Pelodiscus sinensis: one gene and its partner. The protein of the gene in region 2 interacts with the protein of the main gene of each other region in a biochemical or structural test. Links are inferred from orthologs where the notes say so. Each region holds a gene or a part of one and is shown on either strand. Other genes may lie near its edges.

The links. The genes of interacting proteins can lie anywhere in the genome.
Region 1: the proteins of MIS18BP1 (region 2) and MIS18A form a complex in vitro, tested with the Homo sapiens proteins (2 studies listed by BioGRID). The link is inferred for Pelodiscus sinensis from reciprocal best matches to the Homo sapiens genes MIS18BP1 and MIS18A.

Annotation. Positions count from the first base shown.
Region 1 is NC_134711.1:182,550,586-182,554,333, reverse strand, and holds the start of MIS18A (protein Mis18-alpha), read left to right. Parts: upstream 1-1,132; 5' UTR 1,133-1,224; coding exon 1,225-1,432; intron 1,433-1,563; coding exon 1,564-1,630; intron 1,631-2,986; coding exon 2,987-3,109; intron 3,110-3,748. UniProt on the Homo sapiens protein: Required for recruitment of CENPA to centromeres and normal chromosome segregation during mitosis.
Region 2 is NC_134714.1:3,100,863-3,104,610, forward strand, and holds the start of MIS18BP1 (mis18-binding protein 1), read right to left. Parts: upstream 2,713-3,748; 5' UTR 2,598-2,712; intron 2,042-2,597; exon of another isoform or gene 1,885-2,041; intron 1,710-1,884; 5' UTR 1,575-1,709; coding exon 908-1,574; intron 1-907. UniProt on the Homo sapiens protein: Required for recruitment of CENPA to centromeres and normal chromosome segregation during mitosis.

The sequences.
Region 1 (3,748 bases), on a different chromosome or scaffold from region 2:
TTATCGAGGAAGATGAAGAGAAACTAGTGAGAACAGTGCAAGTGCTAAATGAGGAAGGGAAGCGGTATGGACTGATTATGAATATTGATAAAACAAAGACAATGGTATTTGGAGATAAAGAAATAGGAAGGAAGATCAGTGTAGATGGGATCAAACTAGAGAATGTAGAGAAGTTCAAATATTTGGGGAGCAATATTACATATGATCTAGACTGTAAGAAGGAAATAGTGACTAGAGTAGCGAAAGCAAGAGCGAGTTTGAAGTTGATGGATAAGATCTGGAAAAGTAAAGCGATTAGCTTAGGAATGGAATTGAGCATCTTGAAAATGTGTGTATTTAGCAGCATGTTTAGGGATGTGAGACATGGGTGATAATGAAAGATTCAAAGAGAAGGATATTGACGTTCAAGAGGAGTTATAGAAAGATACTGAGAATATGATGGATGCAGAAGGTCACCAACGAGGAATTATATAGGAAGATACAGCCAAAAAAAAAACCTACTGCAGAAGGTTATACAATGGAAGTTACAGCTATTTGGGCATATCTGCAGAATGAACAATGAGTGAAAAGTTAAGACCCTGGTATTCGGCATAACGGACAGTCCAGTTTGGAGAGGCAGACTGCACAGAGAATGGGTGGGGAGCTAGTCTACAGAAACTAAGTGACTCAGCAGTGGAGGCATCAGACACCAACGGGCGTTGAGCCCATGGTGGTTGTTGATGATGATGATGGTGAATGTCTTCCTGCCCAATCTGGCGGGGTGGCCATGCGCGGCATGGTCAGCTGGGCGATAGATCTCTTTGGCTCTTGAAGTGGCAGGATTGCCCTAGCGCAGGTGGGGCACAGTCTCCGTAAACTGGTTCCAGAAATCAGCCTAGACTGGAAAACAGGCTGGCAGGGCAACAGCAGCCTCCCCTCCCCTCCCCTCGCCTCCCACCCGCCAGTGCCGGGCCGGGCCGGGCCACTGCCGCAAGGGGCGCGCGGGGCGCAGTCACCTGGGCAAACGCGCCACAGGCCCTATATGACACGCGGCACCCAGGAGAACTTAGCCCCGCCCCCACCACTGCCGGAAAGGGGCGGGGCTCTTCTCCGTCCCCGCCCTGCTCAGACAAGGGAAGGGGGCGGGGCTTCGCCGGCAGGGGTTCCTCTTTGTCCCTGCCCCTCTGCGCTCCGCTCGTGCGCGCCGCTTCCGCTTCCGGGCGGCGGGCGGTTTGAAGGTGGGGGATGGCGGGCGCGCAATACGTGCCGCCGGGCGCGGGGCTGGAGGCGTCGCTGTCGCTGCTGGAGGCGGAGAGCAGCCGGGGCACGGCGGCCCCCGACGAGCCGGAGGAGCTGCCCATGGTGTTCCTGTGCGCCGGCTGCAAGCGGCCCGTGGGGGACACGCTGGGCTGGGTGGCCAACGAGGAGGAGACCGGCTGCGTCCTGCTGCGCAGTGAGTCCCCGCGCGCGCGAGGCTGGCGGGGGAAGCGAATCTCTGCCGGCCCCCGCCGGCTCCGAGCCCGTTCCTTCCGCTCCGCCCGCCCGCGGCCGTTAGTGACGGTTGGTCCCGCCTGTCTCTTGCAGGCGCCTCCCCCAACGTGTCGGTAGAGAAGGAGCAGAAGCTCTCCAGCCGGCCCGGCGAGTGCGGATGGTGAGTGGGCAGGGCCGAGGGGCCTGGCAGCCGGGACATCCAGGGTCGCGGGCACCGCTGAATGACGACCGGGGCGTGCCCGAAGTATCCCAGCCCCCTACCGCTGGCCTCCCCCACTGCTGGAAGGGGAGAGCAGCCGGGGCACGGCGGCCGCGAGACGGGAGAAGCAGGAGGCGTTGCCCATGGCGTAGCTATATCAACACTAGGGATGTTAAAAAGCGGGTAACTGGGTGAAAACCTTCAAAGCAGCTCCACGCACCTGCAGCCTGCATTGGCTCCCGGCTCCTGACATGTACTGGCTCCCTGCTCCTAAGGAGCTGGCTGCCACCCTGCAGTGTAAGCCCTGATACAGAGGCCATGGTGCAGGATGGCAGCTGACTCCCCAAGAGTGGGGCAGGAACCTGCATGTAACCGTTCCCGTACCGATAACACCAGAGTGATCAGTTAACTGTTTAAATGGTTATTCTGTTACATCCTTAGTCAGCACTTGATTCGTTAAGCAAAACAAAGCCAATTCCTCAGTACGCACATATCCCTTGGGTTGGTGCAGCCTGAATAGGCACAGTGGATACCAGCCACAGACTGAACCTTCTTGAGGTCTGGCTTTGAAACAGCGGGTAATGGTGCACCATGGGTGCTGCTATTGGTCATGCCACTGAAACGATGCTCCCAATCAGAAGGGTTTTATTATGTGACTTCAAATGTCTCCTGCACAAATCTTAAATGGTGAATGAAAATGGAAGAAAACTTATTCAGTTCATAATCATAAAACCCCAAATAGGATAAGGATCTTTTAGTTACTGCTTGGGAGGGAGTTACCAAAAATTTCAATCCAAATACTAGTTTGGAAGTCAATTTTATCTAGTATAGGCTAAAGTATTCTGCTGTATAGCTGAGTAATTTACCTTGCTAAGATCATGCATAGGGTTCAAGGGTTATATATTTGGAATGAGTAAAACAAATGAGGAATCCTGTGGCACCTTAAAGGCTAACTGATTTATTGGGGCAAACCACTTTGTCAAATGCATGGTAAAATGTGTGTGTGCTGATGCATTGGCCTTGTTGGCTTAAAGCCTGAAGTTCAGGTGTTGATATAGCTGCCATATTTGAAACATTTTTCATTATGCTGCAGTTGCAGACTAACATGACTATACTGATTCATAGAATGAAATGAAACAGATATACATGAATATGTGTAATTTTTTGCATTACATAACCACATTTCACTCTTTTTTCCTAATGTGATTTACTGACACAGTGGTAGTGGATACTCTCTTCGAAGTAAGATTAGAAGTGAATGAATTGGAATCAATTTAAATCATCTTTCTAAACAAGTGGTTATATATTTGCTTATAGCATGATTGAAACTTTGTTCTGCTCTGGCTGTTCAATGACCCTTGGGAACATCTACAGATGCACCCCAAAACATCTTGACTATAAGCGAGATTTATTTTGCTTCAGTGTTGACTCAATTGACAGGTAAGGATGAGACCAAATGATTCAAGTTGTCAAATATGCTAATTGATTTTTGCCTTTTAGATTAAATGCCAGGTAGTTTGGGTTCATTACTTAACACTTTTAGCAATCAGATATTTATTATTAAGCTTGTATTAAGGTGAGTATGTGGGAGGGTATTTGGGAAAGGTTATGGATTACTCCTCTAATCTCCTTTTGTTCAAGAACAGTATTCTGTATTGTGGAGCAGGCAAAATATGGGCTGTCGCCAATGTCTTGATCCTTGAATAGGCACCGTGCCTGCTATACCCCCATGTGCCTTTCAAAGTGGCCAGCTGTTGGTGCTTGTACATCACAGCACCAAGGGCCCCATGTCGGGGCATGGAGGCTTCATTCACTGCCCGCACCTCAGCAGAGTCTTGTAGCTCCAATTGGCTAGAAATGTGTGAAGTTTCCCCTTCCCCAAGAGGTGTGTAATGCAGAGATGCCTACTTAAAGCTGCTGGCTACTTGGATCACATGCAAGTCTTGCTAGGCTGTTAGCTGGGAGTCACCTAGGGTAAGTGCCTCCTCGTTAGAACCTGCACCTGGCACCCTGTCCCCTTCCTCCCCCCAACTTTCTGCCCTGGTCACAATCCTAACTTTCTGAACCCCCTCCTACACT
Region 2 (3,748 bases):
TGCTCCCACAGCAGCATACTCCCAGTTCTAAAACCTTACAAAAGCATAGCACACCTGATGGAATAGAAATCCATGACTGTGTGTACCAGTTGCATCCTGAAGCTTGATCCATCCTTTCACTCAGACACACAATCACTGTAATACAGTGCTACAGATCACATATCACCATTCTCCTTGCAGCAACCAAATGATTCTAAGATGGGAAACAGAGAAGAAACTACTGCTCATCAATTCCAACAGTTAACATGGGCTTTTGGGAAGGGAGCACAGGACTTTAAATTTATGTAACACCATGTAGCCAAAAGCAGAGAAAAGAAAAAAGAATGGCCTCATCACTAAAGGTCCAAATAAAAACACATTTTAAAGATGGTATCTAAGATCATGCCTCTTCCGCTGATAGCTATTAGCAGAAATGGCAGGTGTATGTGCTCCATCTTTTGCACTGGTCTTTGGATAATAGATTTTGGTCTTTGGGGAGTAGGTTTAATCCTCTGGCTCTTAAGAGTATCATAAAACATTCAAGACCTATACGTGTTAGATTAGCTGGAGAGAGGAAGCTATGCAATAAGTATGGTTATAGGCCATTTCATGGGCTGAAAAACAGTAAAAACAGAGGAGAAAAGTAGAGAATATAGTGTAGAAAAATTATATGAAGAAGGTGGAGGAAAAAATTTAATTACCAGGAGTTTACAACATTGCTTATAGATTTGGCTATATTTCTTTATGTTTAAGGGAGGATAGCTGGAAGTAGAAGGAAGGAGCACAAACATTCCTTATCTTGGCTAACAGGATCTGGAAAACAACTTCCAGTAAATCCACATGCAGCTATAACCTAAGCATAATAAAACCCACATTTTACTGGAGGACGTAATTTAACCAGGCATCTTGGCAACATAATGCAACAAACCTTTTCTTAGCTGGATCTGTTTATCAGGTAGCTTGACATCTCTTTGGTGGTTGTCTTCATCACTGACTTTTTTATCCCATCTTCCCTGATGGGCAGGATTTGTAGCAGGAGTCAGGATCAAATCACTGTTGACATTTGTCTCTAACAGTTTTCCCTTATAGGGCACTGGATGCTGCTTTTCATGAGATACCTTAGCTTTCATTCTTTGGAAGATTTTTGCTGGAGATTCACGAGTTAAAGGATCACAAGCTTTGCGTTTCAGTACATTTTTGTCTTTTAGTGGCAAGATCTGTTGCTGAGGGCAAGACGCAACTTGCATTGCTACAGTGTCAGACACTGGCCTTATTTCACTGAGGTCAAGAAATTCTTTAGCATAAGTGTCCTCTGTTATTAATGTGGACTGAAAAATACCTTCCCTTTTCTTGAAAGTTCCTGTTCCTCTTGCAGAGTTTTCCTTGAAGTCACACAAACCTGAAGGGAGCATAGTTTCTTTTGTTGCAGAGGTAGTAATACCAGCATGTTGAAATTTCACCAACTCTTTCAAAGGAGTAATAGTACCTGAAGGTATGTTGCTCATAAAGACTGCCTGCAAAGGCATAGCTCCTTTTCTAACAGAAGAAATAGGAGACTTTAAAATATGTGTATTTTTTACAGGTGCTGCAGTCATTCTGCCAATGTTGACACCAATGTTTTGTGCTCTTACTGCAAAGCCATTGAAGCGTGCATGTTTAGGTACAGTATTTTAAATAAAGGAAGAAGCACGAATTCCATGGACTGCCAACTTTATTTGCCTGCATTTCATCTAAAAAGAAAAACAGGGTTAAAAGAAGCTTGTCTTTGTATTTTCATAAGGAGTGCCACATTTCCCAAGTTAGCTTCCCTCACGCTGCGATCTGTGCTGCATACACGCTGCCTGCCTGCTTGTTTCCAGTTAATTATTTTCAGAAGTGGTCACACCAACACAGCACCAGACTTACGTTTATCAGCTGGATCCGCAGGGGCTGTGTGAAGAAGGGATGTCACTAGTTCACCACGAGTAGCCCTGTGGCACTTGAGGGACTCACAAAAATACACAGTACCATGCGCTTCCGTGGGCAAAACCCACCCCTCAGATAAGCTCCTGTGAGGAGGTGGGTTTTGCCCAGGACAGTGTGTTATTTTGTGGTGGTTGCTAGTCTCTACCCAGTGTGTCCCAGCCAGTGGTACGAGCACCCTTAGGGGTACTCAGAGAAGTGGGGGGGGGGGTGCATCAACACGACTGAAGTGTGGAGAAAGCGGGGTGTTGTGGGAGGTCTGACAGCGCTGTATTATCTCTGCCCTTTTCACAGCCAGCAGCTCAGCGCCCGCCCGCTAGATGCGGTTGTTTAAACAAACGTGCTGCGATGGCAGACCCCCCCCCCCCGGCTCCGCTGCTACGGGGCTGCCGCTTTTTTTAAAGGGTACTTCGTTACAAAAACAAAACAAGCGCAAAGCCAGACCCGCAGCCACGCAGCATCCCCGGGCCGGGCGAGGCGGCTCCCGGCCCCCCCCCGGATCCCCGCTCGCGGGGTCACCGACGCCACGGGGCTGCCGGGCAGGGCCCGAACGGGGTGCACCCCGCGGCCGTGGGGGCGGCCGGAGCCCGCCAAAGCCTCGCGCGCACGGCGCCCCCCTTCCTCCCCCGCAGCAAGGGCCGGGCGGCCGCACTCACCCGCCGCCTCGTCCGCGCGCGCGCGCACCCCGCGGCCGTTAGCCGGTTTGAGTCCCGCCGCCCGGCGCGCGGATTGGCGGCGAGGGGAGTGACGTAGCGCGCCGCTCGCGGCGACGGGTGGAGCCTGGAGAGCGGGGGCGGAGCCTCCCCCCGCAGCCGTTTGTGTCTGAGGAGAGGAGAGGCACGAGGCCGGGTGGGGGAGAGGGGACGCCGCCCCGAACGCGCCCCGCCCCGCCCCGCCCCGCCCCGCGCGGGCTGGGCAAACCCCCCTTCCCCGGGGAGCGGGAGCCCCAGACACCGGGAGCTGCGAAAGGGCCGGTCAGTGGTAGGACGTGGAACGACCCTGGCAGACAGCAGGTTGAAAACCGGCACAGCCAACCTGTGGAACTCCTCGCCGGAGGATGTTGTGAAGACCAGGACTTTAACAGGGCTGGGGAAAGAGCTGACAGACTCCAGGGCAGGAAGGTGACCTCAGTGCTCGAGGTCAGGTCCATCAGTGGCTGTTAGCTAGGCCCAGAGACCTCAGAAGGTCAAGTCCAGCCCCCTGCTCCAGGCAGGACCAAGCCCAAGGATGGGCAGCAATGGTGCCTGCAGCCTCTGTCTCTCAGAATGGGAATGGGTGAGAGCAGAGGGATACTTGGTAATTCCCTGTTCTGTTCCTTAACTCGGGGGCATCTGACATGGGCCATTGTTGGAAGAGAAGACACGGGGCTAGATGGACCTGTGATGTGACAACCCATAGGCTGGTCTTAAGTTTGTTCTTTTGAGCATTTTGCTTGTGGATCCTCAGCTGGCAGTTCTGCAGGAGCCTGTTAGAAAAGAAAGTGTTATTAACTCTCCTCCCCCACCTCTAGAATGTAACCACCACCTACTACTCAAAATTCATGTTGTGGAATTTGGCCCATTTCTGAACCCTGGTAGTTTCATGTGTATTTGCTAATACCACAAACAGTAACAGGATTTTACTTCCCATGTCAAATAGCTGAGCGAGAAAAAGTATTGTCTTCCCCCTCAAGCATTTTATGTGACTGAACCTCTTTACTCCCCAGTTACTTACAGTGCATGTGTTTACATAATCCCAGTGTTGTTTATCAAGGGGTATCTCTGCTTTTGTTCTTCAAATGTCTCAAGACTTTTTTTAAAAGTTCATA